2 linked regions of the Arabidopsis thaliana genome follow. The protein of the gene in region 1 purifies or fractionates together with the protein of each later gene. This does not show direct contact. Each region holds a gene or a part of one and is shown in the gene's direction. Other genes may lie near its edges.

Region 1 (7,490 bases):
TTCTATTTGTATAATTTTGATATTGTTTGCACAATTAAGATGATGTGTTTACAAACAATATATAATTGTGAGAAAACGAATTGTCTTTTTCCTTTTATACCATGAATAAATCTGTTCTTTTTTCACTTGAGAACAAAATATTTTGATAAATGCGTTTAACTGGTCGAGATTTTATTCCTTTAGTTTTGTCAAATGTCAATATATACATTTATTCTTAATTGATACTTCTTTGAATTTAAAGTGCTTAAAATCTTCTTATAATTAGAGTTCTTAGATCACCGACAAAGCGTTTCCTGTCAAATGTGTTTGTAACATCTACTTTGGTTTGTTACTTTCAGTTACATAAAATCACTTGACGGGCTAATTGCTCTAATCAAATTTTTGATTTTAAAATAAAAATCGATCGGTATTTGGTTCAGTTAACCATGATGATTAGCCCGGTTTAAATAAGTTTAAGAAAAACGAAAAGAACAAAATTGTTTTCTTTTTAAGGTCTAATTACCAAATCGACCATGAATCCAATGTTACAAGAACACAAGTCTTCGTCCTAAATAACAAGTTCAATCTTCATCTTCAACAATCTGAGAGAGATTAGTTCCAAGTTTTACCGTTTACAACAAGAATCAGAAAGGTCTTTGATTGCATATCTCAAGGTTGAGCCGGAGCAGGAGCTGAAGCCATAGGTGGAGGAGATTGTTGCTGCAATGGTTTCGATTGTGGCTCAAGATGTTCAGAATCTTTCTTTGCTTCAGGAGATTCAGAGAGTTTTGATTCACGTTCGGCTTCTTGCGTTGATGAAGCTGCCTTTGGTGATTCAGACAAGTGAACTCTAGCAAACTCATCAACCACTTTCCTCTTATCCTCTTCCTCAGCCATACCAACTTTCTCTTTAGCCTTTTGTCCAACTTCTTCTGCAGCTTTAGCAACTTTGTTGAATGCTCCAGTAACCCACGTGGCACCTGTGAGAACATACCGGTTCTTCATTATAGCTGAACCTGCATTGCTCACTGTCTGCTCCGCTGCAGCGATTGCTGATTTGGTTTTCTCTGAGACTTGGTACTTCTGATCAACTTCCCTGACCTTTTCTCCCACTACCACCGTGCCTGTGTTGATCTTATCAGTGAAACCAATTTTCTTGTCAAAAGATGCGACTTTGGCTGATGCTGTAGATGTTAGCTGGTGCTTCTCGTCAACACTTTTGGCTTTAGCTATGGCATCTTTTCCCAGGATAAAGCCCTTTGCAAGCATGCTGCTCACAACATCTTCGGCTTTTCTCAACACGGAGTCACCTGCCTTGGGAGATTTATTGCTGTCCTTGGGTTCCTGTGAAAAAGATGAAATGGTAAGATTTTAACTTGTGAAAAAACTCAGAAGAGATGATGAATTACGAGCTTACCAAGGAAGCTAAAGCCTCAGGGGACAGTTGGTAATCAGGAGCCATAGAGACAATGACTGAAGAATCAACAATCGTTGCTCCCTGAAATGAAAGAATTACATTAATACTCAGTCACTCAAAGGATACAGTCATATAGAGGAACTAATACAGGCTAAGAAGTAAAAATACCGAGAGAAGAACCGCAGTTTCAGCTCCTTGTAGATCCTTAAAAGTGACATATGCCAGTTTAGTCCGCTCAGTCTCGCTGTACAAACATGTCAAAAGAGTTAAGAACCTGACGAACTAAAAGCTGTAATCTAAAACTTTCAAAAGGAACAATAGAGAGGAAACCAAACCTCTGCGTCTCAAGGTACAGAATATCGCCAGAAAAGGAAAAGAACTCCTTGAGATCTCTATCGGTTGCTCCTAGAGAAACATTGCTCACTTTAACTGTTGTCATCTGCAAGTGAAATATAATCTCGTGTGACTTAAAAACTAAAATTTCAAACCATTTCACCAGCTAAACAAAATCTCAGACTTATTCATTAGTTGTTCGATTACACATTTCTCGATTCCTTATCGCCTAAAACAATGACTAAACACACACACACACACTCCTAAAGCAACCAATATTATCAATACAATGATCAGAAAACACAGAAACATTGCATCATCAATACAAGAAGATAAAAAGAACCTCAGAATCTAGGAAAAGCAAATACTTGTCTCAAAACTAATCCTATGGCACAGATCAGATATTAACAGATTACAAAACAAAACAAATGCTAAAGTGAATATCCTAATCCAAACAAAAGCAATTTTACCCTAAAAAAAAATTTCTTCATATCAGAAACAGTAATTTTCACCCAAATCAAAAACAGAGAACAGCTTCAAATCCTCTAAAATAAAAAAACTAGCGATTCTTCACTAATAATCAACGCCATTTCTCGCAAAACAAATTAGAAAACAACAATCAAAATCAACAGATCTGTTCACATCTTCCTCAATCAAATCAACAGCAAAAACATCGACCTTTCTCAGGATAAATCCAAAACAAAAACCAAAACTAACTAGTTTCAAAAAGCGAAGAGATTAGATAAGCTCACCGTCATGAAGAAAATCGCGTTGACGCGGATTGAAATGGAAGATTGTTTTTCCTTCACACAGGAGGAACAATATTTGAAACGAAACGAAACGAAAAATCAAAGGAAAGAAAAATCTCTGGTCGCGGATTTGATGTGAAGAAGAGTGAAAAATAAAAGAAAAAAGTGGGACCTGATTTTAAACGCCTTGGAAAAACGAGTCTTATTCGGGTTTGGCACGTGATATGGTCGGAACCTTCTCACGTGCGATGATTAAAAAAGAGTCCTAATTTTAAACTTCTTTTGCTTTTGACCCTTTTTAGTCACGTAAAGTTCTATCTAGAGATTTTATTCATTAAATTCTGGACTAATCTATCATAATCCTTAATCTAATTCTAATTAATCCGTAATCTGTTAGTATCTTGGTTAAAATAATCAATTAACGTCGTGACATAATCACTTTCTCCACCAATGTCTACCATCCACGTGTCCTGAGCTCAGAGCAATGTAATCATCGTAGACCATTTATCACTTTATAATAAAAGGAGGATATACCGTTAAGATTCTAAACTATAGAGTCACGTTTGGAATATTATAGAAAAGTTAAGGATCAAAAAATGAAAAAAGTACAAGCTTTTTCCGTTCATACAGGTAATGTGACATTTCACGTTTTGCTCAATCTCTCTCTCCGCGGTTCACGTTTTTTCTCAATCTGTCCGGAGAGAGAGAAACTCACCGGGGAATCTTGAAATCACCATCACATCCTCTCTTCCCTCGATCTCCGTTATCGACTGTAAATCGAATTTTGTTGTTGCTTTGTTTTCTTGGGCGAATAAAAGAGGATAATTTAGTGGCGGGGTTTTCGAGAAAGAGAGAGAAAGAATGAGTTTTCAAGATTTAGAGGCGGGAAGAGGAAGATCATTAGCTTCTTCAAGGAACATCAATGGTGGTGGTAGTAGACAAGACACGACTCAAGATGTTGCTTCTGGTATATTTCAGATCAATACAAGTGTTTCCACTTTCCATCGTCTTGTCAATACTCTTGGTACTCCTAAAGATACGCCTGAGCTCAGAGAGAAGCTGTAAGTACTTCTCAAAGTTAAAGTTATCTCCTTTTTGAGTTTTAGGGTACTTGAAATTGTTTCTAATTGAGTCAATTTGCTTGTTTTAGGCATAAGACAAGATTATATATTGGACAGTTAGTGAAAGATACATCAGCTAAACTTAAAGAAGCTAGTGAAACTGATCATCAAAGAGGTGTAAATGTGAGTCATTTATGATAAAGGAAGATTCTTGTTCTTCTTCTGCTACTTCTGTTGATTAATAGGAATTTGATTGGTTGGTTAGCAAAAGAAGAAGATTGTGGATGCTAAGCTTGCAAAGGACTTTCAAGCTGTGTTGAAAGAGTTTCAAAAGGCTCAGCGTCTTGCTGCTGAAAGAGAAACCGTATATGCTCCTCTTGTCCACAAGCCATCTCTTCCCTCAAGGTTAATGCTCATTGATGGTTTATGTTTACTTTTGTGGTTTTGTGTATTGATTTCCTGGCTTTGGTAATGTAGCTACACATCCAGTGAGATAGATGTGAATGGAGATAAGCATCCAGAGCAGCGTGCCCTTCTTGTGGAATCAAAAAGGTTAGTTTATACAGACAATGGTGTCCATCTTTGTTCGGTTGATGAGTTATCTATTGATTGGTTTGTTGTTTTTTGTTGCAGACAAGAACTTGTACTGTTGGACAATGAGATTGCGTTCAATGAGGCTGTTATTGAGGAAAGAGAGCAAGGGATACAAGAAATTCAGCAGCAAATTGGCGAGGTGCACGAGATCTTCAAAGACTTGGCAGTGTTGGTGCACGATCAAGGAAACATGATAGGTAAAACTGATTCCAACTCTTGTTATGCTAAAACTCTCACTTATGTCTTCAAAACCTAAGACGTAAGACCTATTTTTGTGTAGATGATATTGGTACTCACATCGATAACTCTTACGCTGCAACTGCCCAAGGAAAATCCCATCTCGTAAGGCATCAAAGACACAAAGATCAAATTCTTCTCTGGTAATATATTAAAGCTTTTGATCGTACCATGAAATGTGTTTTTGAGGATTTTGGATGATCAGATCAGCCTACTAACTTCTTCTTTCCATTGTTTTTTCTTTTTCTTGTAGACGTGCTTGCTCTTGGTGATTTTTGGTATCGTGCTCATGATTGTTATTATAGTGCTCGCAGTTTGATTTCCCCAAGCTCATAAAAGCATGGACAAGTGCTTCATCATCAATCAAGAAGCATCAATGAGTATATGTTTGTCACGACTCTCTTTGTTCCTACAATTTAGTCTGTTGGACTATTGGTCTCTTGTTTCTTGTTATCGAGTATATAGAGTAGTTCACTTTGGTTTGATTTGGCTTGTGTTTGCTGAGTCTTGGTTCTGAAGGAGAGAGTGTTACTGCTTTGTCTCTGTAATATAACTTGGTTCTGAAGGAAAATCCTCTGTTTGTGTTCTTAAATGTGAAATTTCTGGTTTCGATTAGCTAAAGCTATGGCGAATCTTCAAAAGTACAAAGCTTGAGTCAATAAATTTTAGTCATATGTTGTCAGAACAAAGTTTGAACAAAACAAAATCATCTAGAAAAAAGTAGGCCTTGATTGAGATAACAAGCAGCTGTAGGATCCTTAAGGCATCCACAGAACGCCTCTTCATCTTTCGGAAACGACTTTGGCAATGGATGATCAGGAGTTACACCGACCTATACAACAACCAGCAACGAGTCAAGACTGTAAGAACATGTTTGTATGTAGTGTAGTGTAGACACAGAGGGGGTTACTACAGGAAGAAAGTAGTTTCATACTTTGTCTATATCTGTGTGAGCTGGTGTTTCATATCGAGCAACTGTTACTGCCAAGCCCGAACCATCAGAAAGCTCAAAAACCGACTGTATCTTGCTGCAAAATGCGTTAAAGTCTCAGGAATTTTACGGTTCGGTCTCTGAGAAGAAGAATAAAAAATAGCGCCATTTTGTTTACCCTTTTCCGTAAGTTGGTTCTCCATAAACCAGAGCACGTTTATTATCTTTCAAGGCACCTGCTAATATCTCGCTGGCACTCGCGGTGCCTTTGTTAACCTGGAAAAGAGAAAGATTGTGTGAGAATGAAATCTTTCATGGCATTTACAGATTACAATAAGGACTAGATTTGAGGAAAGGAAGGATGGAAGCTCATACAAGAACGGCAAGAGGCTCAGAGGTTGCTATAGCATTGCTTCCATCAGTATCATATATATCTCTAACACCTCGACTATCGCAAATATACACAATCACTCCTTTATCTAACCTGTGGATAGCAAATGTTGAAGTTTCTATTATGATAGCTGTGGATCTTGAAATTTTCTAATTCGTTATATGTAACGGTTTATGAGGTTATTACCAAAATTTAGCAATCTCAATTCCTTCTGGGAAAGAACCTCCACTGCAGCAAGAACAATTTTTTTAAGAAAGGCTGTTGCAAAAGCAAAAAAGAGTTTATGTTCTCAAAAAATCATCACCTATTGTCTCGAAGGTCCAAGACGAATGCGTTTACATTGTTGCCTCTCAAGGTTTCAATAGCTTCCCTTACCGCACCTACAAAAAAAGTGTTAAGACTTTGAGAGATAATAAACTAGAGAGTAGATAAATTTGTAAGAAGGAATCAGTAATGCCAAAGAATACATACTAGAAGCATTTTGATTGAATGTTGTTAGCTTGATATAGCCAATCTTAGGGGAGTTACTCCCAGAACCAGGAAGTTCACATAATCTTGACTTCACTGGATTCACAGAAACCCGCTCTCGCCTGAAATAACAACAATTGTAGTTACCAAATGAACGTGACAACGAAGATAAATGTAGGCATGAGAGAAATACGTCAAAGTTAAGAGTCTCGTTTCAGGTCCACTGCGAATCGCTAGCTCCACTGCACTTCCTTCAGGTCCCCTGCATTTCAACCAAAGCATTATCATCATTTCTTACTTCAGAACCATTAACTCGTCACACTTAGATTTTTCAAAGTTAAGGAATGATGAAAAATGGAAATGTAACTCACTGCAACATCTGTGCAGCATCGTATATGGTAAGAGTTTCTGTGGTTGTATTATCAATTCCTTGAATAACATCGCCAGGTAATATCCCCGCCCTATTTGCAGGACCTCCTGGAGCAGCTGATATAACAACAAGCCCAGCTGGTGGTCCATCTGATGCAGTGGGGTAACCTATCGACAGCCCAACACCCGTAACCGCCCCTTGAGTCCCCGACTGCCTTCAACCAAACCATTTAATTACTAGATCTTACATACAGTCTATTTGCTAAATTCAGAACTGTATATTTTCAGGAAATCTTACCCGCAAACTCTTGAACTTTCCGGGCTCCAAGAATCGAGTAAAAGGATCATCTAGTGTTGCCACCATTTTCTTGATAGCCATGTCTAAACACAAACCAACACCAAATTTAGAAGCAAGTTGTACTAATTTTGTAAAAGGTTAATAAAGCTATTCACACATACATGTCTCTTCTCGAGTGTTCATAGGCTCATTTCGTAAAGCAGTCTCTCTGTAACGAAACCAGCTTTGTCCATTAAAGGTTTTATCAATATAAGCACGATCAATTGTTCTCCAAGCCTCGAGGAAGAGAAGATTCTCTTCAGTAAGACCCCCTAAAGAGACAGAGAAAAAAAGCCACACAAATGAAATCAAATTGCATTCCCCGAAATTTATATGGTTTCTCAACATGTAAAAAAAACAGAACTTACATGATGGTGGTGAATCAGTGGTAACAACAGAAATGGAAGAGACAAGCAGAACAGAAACGATCCGAACTAATGCAACAGAGAGATTCTGTCTGAAATTAACAGAAGATTTCATCATAACCTTCCCAGATAATTTCCTCTGATCATTTCTTTCGATAACACACAGAAATCTATTACAGACGAACACGACTCCTGGGTTTGCTGCATTGCTCCTTGAAATGTTACTACGACTACGAGCATAACTAAATTTGCTAGCTTT
Region 2 (8,464 bases), on another chromosome or scaffold:
TATCATTTGAATAGTGTTTTGGATGATCTGGTCGTGTCTCTCTGCAAATTCACACCCTTCTTCGCCCCATTATCTGCTGATGAAGCTGTTCTTGTTCTAGGAGAAGATGCCAGAGCCAGAATGGCTACTGAAGCTGTTTTCTTGATTGCAAATAAATATGGTGACTATATTAGTGCGGGCTGGAAAAACATACTGGAATGTGTCTTGAGCCTCAACAAACTCCACATTTTACCAGATCATATAGCTAGTGATGCAGCGGATGACCCAGAGCTGTCAACTAGTAACTTGGAGCAAGAAAAACCTTCGGCAAATCCCGTGCCAGTCGTATCACAGTCACAACCCTCAGCGATGCCTCGAAAATCATCTAGTTTTATTGGTCGGTTTCTTCTGTCTTTTGATTCTGAGGAAACAAAGCCATTACCAAGCGAGGAAGAATTGGCAGCTTATAAACACGCTCGTGGGATAGTGAAAGATTGTCATATTGATAGCATATTCTCAGACAGCAAGTTTCTCCAAGCTGAGTCTCTGCAGCAGCTTGTTAACTCTCTTATAAGAGCATCCGGGAAAGATGAAGCTAGTTCGGTCTTTTGCCTGGAGCTTCTGATTGCGGTAACGCTGAACAACCGAGACAGAATCCTACTGATTTGGCCAACAGTTTATGAGCATATCTTGGGTATAGTTCAATTAACATTAACACCATGCACGCTTGTTGAAAAGGCTGTTTTTGGTGTACTGAAGATTTGCCAGAGATTATTACCATACAAGGAAAACCTAACAGATGAACTTCTGAAATCACTCCAACTGGTTCTCAAGCTGAAAGCAAAAGTGGCTGATGCATACTGTGAACGCATTGCACAAGAAGTTGTTCGTCTTGTAAAAGCAAACGCATCTCACGTTAGATCCCGTACTGGTTGGCGAACGATTATATCTCTGCTATCAATCACAGCTCGGCATCCAGAAGCTTCTGAAGCTGGATTCGAAGCCCTCCGGTTTATAATGTCAGAAGGAGCTCACTTGTTACCATCAAACTACGAGCTCTGTTTGGATGCAGCCAGTCACTTTGCTGAATCCCGAGTTGGTGAAGTCGATCGGTCTATCTCAGCAATTGACTTAATGTCAAACTCTGTGTTTTGTCTTGCAAGATGGTCTCAAGAGGCGAAAAACTCGATTGGTGAAACTGATGCTATGATGAAACTAAGTGAAGATATTGGAAAAATGTGGCTCAAACTTGTGAAGAACCTCAAAAAAGTATGTCTTGATCAACGCGACGAAGTGAGAAACCATGCAATCTCAATGCTGCAACGAGCTATAGCCGGTGCAGACGGGATCATGTTACCACAACCTCTATGGTTCCAATGCTTTGATTCCGCAGTCTTCATATTGCTAGACGATGTGCTCACTTTTTCGATCGAGAATTCAAGGAAGACTCTCAAGAAAACAGTGGAAGAAACGCTTGTTCTCGCCACAAAGCTCATGTCAAAAGCTTTTCTGCAATCTCTTCAAGACATCTCACAGCAACCATCATTCTGCAGACTTTGGGTTGGTGTCTTAAACCGTTTGGAAACGTACATGTCAACTGAATTCAGAGGAAAACGCAGCGAGAAAGTCAATGAACTCATCCCGGAACTGCTCAAGAACACATTACTGGTAATGAAGGCGACGGGAGTTTTATTACCAGGTGATGATATCGGAAGTGACAGTTTCTGGCAACTAACGTGGCTTCACGTTAATAAGATCTCTCCTTCTCTTCAATCTGAAGTTTTCCCTCAAGAGGAGCTTGATCAGTTTCAGAGACGAAACGCGAAGCCTGAGGATCCTCCGGTACCGGGAAATGAGGTCTGAGACGGTTTTGGTGGAATAGAGAAAATTTGTTCTATACAGATGAAAAAGCTTAATCAAGGATATCAATTTTTTTTTTGCAGTATAGCTTTTTTGTTTTTAATATAGGGGGATTATAATACTTTGGAGTCTTGAGCTTTTGTTTTTTTTATGGAATGTTATGTTGAAATTATGGGTTTGATTGGAAATATATTTGGAGGCAATTTGGAAACTGCTGCGTCTATTATACAAAGAACTTGAAAAATTCAATGGTACTGACAAAGAAAAATGGTACTCATCAAAACCAGAAAAGAAAAGTAAATTTTTGGTCCAAATCTCACTATTTTAATAACATTTTTTAAAAACAAAGAATTAAGAACAAAAACAAAATGACCTATAAAATTTTGGACTCTAATTCTTGGCTTGTGTGACTTTATTAACAGTTAAATATTACAAATTTTCAAACTCTTAAAAATTTAAACTTTATAAAACGTTTTAAATATTTATAATTTATAAACTTTATGAAGTTTTAAATATTATAAATATTTGTTATAATTTTGAATGTTATAAATTTATAAACGAAAAGAACTTGAAAAATTCAATGAAAACGAGTAACGACAAAGAAAAATGATAATCATCAAAACCAAATCTCAATATTTTAATAACATTTAAAGTTTTTAAAAAACCCAAAAAATTAACTAGTAGGCCTGGGCATAATACCCGGAACCGAATATCCGAACCGAAAAACCCGAAAAATAACCAAACCGAACCCGAATCCGATTTTTAGAATTACCCGAATGGGTCCTCGACCTTACTACCCGAAAAAACCCGAACCGAACCCGAACCGAATCTAATACCCGTGGGTACCCGAATACGAATGTAACTTAAATATATTAGTTATATATATATATTTGTAATACCTCAAATACCAAAATTAAAATTATAAATCCGATTATACTAGATTTTTTTAGTAATTCATATATATTTGGATATATTTGGGTAAAAGTAACAAATGTTATAGTTTTCTTTTAGATAATTTAAGTATTTTGGTTACATTTGGTTATATTTGTATAAAAAGTAACCAATATATTTACGGGTAATTGGGTATTTCGGGTTGATTTGGGTATATATGAATAAAAAAACCGAATCTAACCCGAACCCAAAAATATTTTGGGTATTTTTGGTTATTTTTACATTTTTACTAAAATAACCGAACCGACCCAAACCCGAACCGAAACCGAACCGAATTTTTAGAATACTCGAATGGTTCTCAACCTCCTACCCGAATAGACCCAATACCCGGAAAAAAAAACGAACCCGAACGGGTACCCGAATGCCCACGCCTCAATTAAGAACAGAAAAAGAAAAAAACTAACTTTCAGTGACCTATAAAAGTTTGGGCCCTAGAAGAGTCTTTTCGCAACACCAAAAATGGCAGATCCGCAAGCCCAACAAGGCAGTGGCATTGCCAAAAGATCTGGACAAAAAAAAGGCCAAGTGGTGTACAAAGCCTAGATGTAGGATATAATTACTCAACCGTCGAACATATTTTCCATAGATCATTCATAGACGTACGCATCATCAAATCAATTCATCGTCGTCTTCCACAATTGTCATCACCGATCGATTTTCCGACTCCGACGTACCTCCTCTTCCCCGTTACCTTCTCAGGTCTCAATCTGGCTTTCTCTATTTTTCGCCTAATTCCTCTTTTTCTGATTGTGATTCTGCTTTCTAATTTTGATCCTAATTTTTTGTGCTTATACTCCGGCTAAACTCTTCCATTTGTTCCGATCACCGGAATTTTCGTCACTTATTCGTCATCCTTTTTCTCTTTTGATCCGTCAATTTTACTTTTCTGTCTTTTTTTTTTCTCCTTTTTCCCCGTGTTGACATTTCTTTCTTCTGTACGTGATCTAGTTATCTTAGGGTTTTGGACTGCTATACAAAACAATCAATTGATTTTAGTTTTATCTTTTGAATCGTTGTAAGAATTTCAATAGCCTAGTCTTGTTGATGGTTTTGGGCTATTGAATCTGTTCTTAAAGTTTCAGCTTAATGTAATCTGTTCTTAATCAGAATTAGGGTTCATCATCATTGTGTGTGTTGCTGATTCTGCAGAGTTTTTAGTAGTCTTCCTTTGGAACAATGAGTGACGTGTTTGATGGATATGAGCGACAATACTGTGAGCTCTCGGCGAGTCTTTCAAAGAAGTGTTCCTCTGCTATTTCGCTTGATGGAGGTAAAATTGTTACTCTAATCTTTTCTAAGATGTGATACTTTTCCTACTCAGGCATTGCCTTACCTTCCTTAAGATTTGAAATAACTAATTCTGGTTTAGCTTATGAATGTAACAATGTACGAATTAGAGATATCTTGGTTTGTGTTTTTGATGCAGAGTATTGTGCGATTTAGATCCTTTAATTACTACTTCGTTGTAAGGACATAGTATTGGTTTCTGATTACGAAGAGAGCTTGTGATTAGTATTGGTCGCTGATCATCGCCATTTTTTTACACTGGGGATACTTCGGTTTTTGTTTGTTACTGAGAACGATTCTATAGATAGTTTGGTTTGTGTTTGATGACTATAAACTTCTTGTCTCCTTCATGTGTTGCTAGGACATAGTAGTGTGCCTTTCTTTTGCTTTCTTTGGAGATTGTGATTAGTAGTGTTCGCTGATCATCGGGATTGTTTTTTTTCCCCTAGATGAGTATGCTCTGTTGATTGCATAGATAAAAATGCATTGATGATACCTTATTAATTTGCAGAACAAAAGAAGCAGAAGTTGTCTGAAATAAAATCCGGGCTGGAAAATGCAGAAGTATTGGTATGTGATATGCGTAACGTGAAGTTATAGAAGCTTCTCTATTGTCCATTATTCATTTTGATGCTTCTCTGTCCTTTTCTTCACCAGATTAGGAAAATGGATCTCGAGGCAAGGACCCTTCCACCTAATCTTAAGTCCAGCCTCCTTGTCAAATTAAGAGAATTCAAGTCTGATCTGAACAATTTCAAAACTGAAGTGAAGAGAATCACATCTGGACAGTTGAACGCTGCTGCTCGTGATGAGTTGCTAGAAGCTGGTATGGCTGACACAAAGACGGTATGTAAAGGACTCGGTAGTATTGTTTCAATTTTATCTCATCTCATATCTTTGCTATTAAAACGACCTATGATTTTCTTTTTTTATTGAAACGCTGAGATCAGGCTTCAGCTGATCAGAGAGCAAGATTGATGATGTCAACTGAGCGTCTGGGCCGAACCACTGACAGAGTCAAGGACAGTCGTAGAACAATGATGGAGACTGAAGAAATCGGTGTTTCAATCCTCCAAGACTTGCACGGTCAGAGACAGTCTCTCTTACGTGCCCACGAAACGGTATTGTCTCTCTGCAACACATTTACTCCATATTCTCAACGATATTCTGAACAAAGTGACAAAATAAGATGAGAATTAAGGGCTATATCATAAAGAAGACTATGTTTTCTTGTTTTCTTTATCAACGCTGGATTGATATCGCGCTAACCAAAATTTAGAACTCTGTTGACAGCTTCATGGAGTAGACGATAACATTGGAAAGAGCAAGAAGATCTTGACAGACATGACGAGGAGGATGAACAAGAACAAATGGACCATTGGAGCCATCATCATCGCATTGATTGCCGCCATTTTCATCATCTTGTACTTCAAACTCACCAAGTAAGCCTCTGTAACTAAATCCGACCAAATCAAAGAACAACGGTTGTTTTCGTTTTGTGAGTCTTTGATTTATCCTGTTTCTTCTTTTTGTGTGAAAAGTTGTTTTGCCACCTTTGTATTCTAAATTTGACCATACATACTTTAAGCAAGTAAAGCTTCGGCCTAAGTGTCACGTATATTGTTTATATTGTTCATATCAAATCCAGAACTATACATGGTTAAACATTGAGATTAAAAGCCTCAATTATTTCAAACAATCGAGGTCTACATCTCGCACAATTGTTCATATATTGGATCTAGAACTATACATGATCAAACATTGATATCAATTACTAGTGTTTTTTTCTTTCATATTTGAATTTGCTATAATCAGCGACCAAGCTCTCAATAACCCTATGCTTCATGTTATCCACCAAACCGGCCAAAATCTGTAAAGGGCCAATCAAAAACATAAATCATGTATAAACCCGGAACACAGCATTTTGAGTCTCCAATCGCATATATGAAACAAGACAGTTTCTTACCGCATTGGCCATGTTTCTCCTAACATCTTCTGGTACAAGCGCGAGAACTGAAGGAAGCACGAAGCTAATGGTCGTTTCTAGTCGACCTTTGAGCCTCGTGTGCCTTCCACGCCGGTCTGGGTATAATGCTCCTTTTACTCCAAGAGTGAAATCAGTTGGTTCCATTACTCGGTCAAGCCCTTGAAGCTCCCATTTCGTCTGAAAATCGTAATTCAAATGTTAAATCAATAAAAATTCTGACTAGTGAATTTGTGATTCATGTGGTGGTACAAATATAATATTACCATGTTGAGCTCAAGAACTTTGGTTATGTGTAGAGGTACGTCTGATGGGTAATCCTGACCGTTGGATTTGCATCTAATCCGCATGACCACCACTGGACACGCAGTGAGGAAGAAAAATTTTATTGGTAACATTTGGATTCTCCATTCTTCCTGCACAATAATTTCATCCGTAAGTAACAAAGCCTCAAAAAATAAACATAGTTAAAAAACATGAGGTAAGGAAAATCAAAACATGCTACTAGCAATGATGTTACATTCCAATAATTCAATGGGGACCTCTTGACAACAAGAATAATATCAAAATCTTAAAGAGATTTTACTGGTTTGTGACTTTGTGTATCTTGTTTCATTTCTCTTATGGATATATGTAATTTTATATATAGGTTTCTAAGAACTTACTAGGACACAACTAAGATTTGTGTATTCTTTTGTAACTACGAAACAATAGAAATTTCTATAAATTTATTTTTAATCCTTAATTGAATACAATTGATACTATTGAGGATTATAAATCCTTAATTATTTTGTTATTTTCACTATCACCAAAATTTGAAAGTCGATGGTCGAAAAACTCAAAAAGATTTATCAATTTTTCGAATCACTAAAAATTAAATAATCAAATAGAATAAACACTTTTAATCACATGCCTTGGAGTAAAAGTAAGTAAAGGAGTCTTGAAGAATGGTACCTCATTAAGCCTATAGTTTTTGGGTTTATCCGGAAACATTGCTTCGAAAACCCTTGATTTGTCTTCCAAATATTCATCAAACAAGGCCTGCAAAGATCGGCAAGAGATTCGATATTAAAACATTCATGTGTGTACACATATACAGACCCTATTATAGAATGAGAAAGAGACCTGAGGAGACTCGTGGAGAGCGATATCGGTTGATATTTTAGAGGAATACTTGGCGGATTTTACAGGTGACAAGTGACACTTCACTCTCCACCGTTTTGATCTAACCTGCCCACAACTTCCGATCATCCCCGGGCATGAATACACCGCAGAGCTTACCGCCATTTCACCAAGATTGGATCTTTGATCTTTCCCACATATCTTTATCTCTCAATCTATCTATACTAAAAGATTGCGTCTTGGTTTCTCTCTATACGTTGAGACTTTTGTGGAAGATTGAGAAAGAGACAGTGAATAAAACCGTCACGGTAGAGATTTGGAATATTGGTTTATTTGGTCTTTTACGTCCACGTGGCGTAATTACAAGACGTTACATGTTATCAAAGTCTTGAAATCTATATTTGCTTACTCAGTCTTTTACGCATTCGGTCGTGGATGAGACTGACACAACATCATTCAAAGTTGAAAGGAACTAAAACCCTCACTTTCAGACAGAGGGTTGACAAAGCTTAGGCCTGATTTTTTCATCTCACTCAAATTTCACATCAATTTTTGTCTACATAGTCCAATCTGGTTTAACCATTTCGAGGCGAAAATGTACCTTCAGATTAAAAGTTCATACATCTGTTTTTACATAGAGCTTGGTTTAACTGATTTTCGAACTAAATCCGATAAAAGACCAAATAAACCCAATGCTTAAAAGTTTTAGTTAGGCCACTCTGGTTTTAAATTTGGTTTCACACTAGATCAAAGATTAGTGCAATTAACAAAATAATTTAAATTTCAAATTATTATATTTTTAACATAACACACAATACTAAACTAAGAAATTATAAGAATAATCAAAACAATATATAACTTTATTTTCAGCTAAACCAAAGAATTTGGAAAATTTGCGCCAACTGAAAAACTAAATGATTTCTTAACTTGACTATATCAATTAAATAACTTACAAGTAGCTTCTTACTGATATATGAACGGATTGAGAACTATACATGGTCAAACAGAGGCAACAAAGATAGAGTTTACTCGATTATCTTTGTAATTTTCTTTCATTCTTGAACCTGCTATAATCAGAAAGCAAGCTCCCATTAACCTTATGCTTCATATTCTCCACTAAACCGGTCAAAACCTGTAAAAGATTCAAATGAAAAAACACAGAGATCATGTACAATCATGGGATGTGGTAAATAGAGCTTTATGTAACAGTTTTCTAACCGCATTGGCCAAGTTTCTTCGAACATCTTCAGGTACCAACTCAAGAACCGGAGGAAGAACAAA

What was found.
Region 2: the proteins of SYP23 (region 1) and SGR4 fractionate together in Arabidopsis thaliana (co-fractionation; one study listed by BioGRID). This does not show direct contact.

Annotation. Positions count from the first base shown.
Region 1 is NC_003075.7:9,862,012-9,869,501, forward strand, and holds SYP23 (syntaxin of plants 23), read left to right. Parts: upstream 1-3,091; 5' UTR 3,092-3,339; coding exon 3,340-3,539; intron 3,540-3,628; coding exon 3,629-3,722; intron 3,723-3,804; coding exon 3,805-3,944; intron 3,945-4,016; coding exon 4,017-4,091; intron 4,092-4,172; coding exon 4,173-4,330; intron 4,331-4,413; coding exon 4,414-4,513; intron 4,514-4,623; coding exon of another isoform or gene 4,624-4,624; exon of another isoform or gene 4,625-4,684; coding exon 4,685-4,706; 3' UTR 4,707-5,011; downstream 5,012-7,490. Other genes in the region: AT4G17720 (RNA-binding (RRM/RBD/RNP motifs) family protein), read right to left, coding at 649-1,323, 1,397-1,477, 1,565-1,640, 1,732-1,835, 2,482-2,487; AT4G17740 (Peptidase S41 family protein), read right to left, coding at 5,077-5,202, 5,305-5,398, 5,480-5,577, 5,677-5,785, 5,879-5,920, 5,997-6,072, 6,164-6,282, 6,354-6,422 and 4 more. UniProt on the Arabidopsis thaliana protein: May function in the docking or fusion of transport vesicles with the prevacuolar membrane.
Region 2 is NC_003076.8:15,818,069-15,826,532, forward strand, and holds SGR4 (Vesicle transport v-SNARE family protein), read left to right. Parts: upstream 1-3,224; 5' UTR 3,225-3,489; intron 3,490-3,939; 5' UTR 3,940-3,966; coding exon 3,967-4,060; intron 4,061-4,150; exon of another isoform or gene 4,151-4,369; intron 4,370-4,588; coding exon 4,589-4,647; intron 4,648-4,734; coding exon 4,735-4,923; intron 4,924-5,027; coding exon 5,028-5,198; intron 5,199-5,370; coding exon 5,371-5,523; 3' UTR 5,524-5,772; downstream 5,773-8,464. Other genes in the region: GNL1 (GNOM-like 1), read left to right, coding at 1-1,842; AT5G39520 (hypothetical protein (DUF1997)), read right to left, coding at 5,852-5,947, 6,044-6,241, 6,328-6,477, 7,016-7,102, 7,187-7,348; AT5G39530 (hypothetical protein (DUF1997)), read right to left, coding at 8,217-8,315, 8,402-8,464. UniProt on the Arabidopsis thaliana protein: Functions as a v-SNARE responsible for targeting AtELP-containing vesicles from the trans-Golgi network (TGN) to the prevacuolar compartment (PVC) and mediates liposome fusion. May be also involved in retrograde traffic to the cis-Golgi.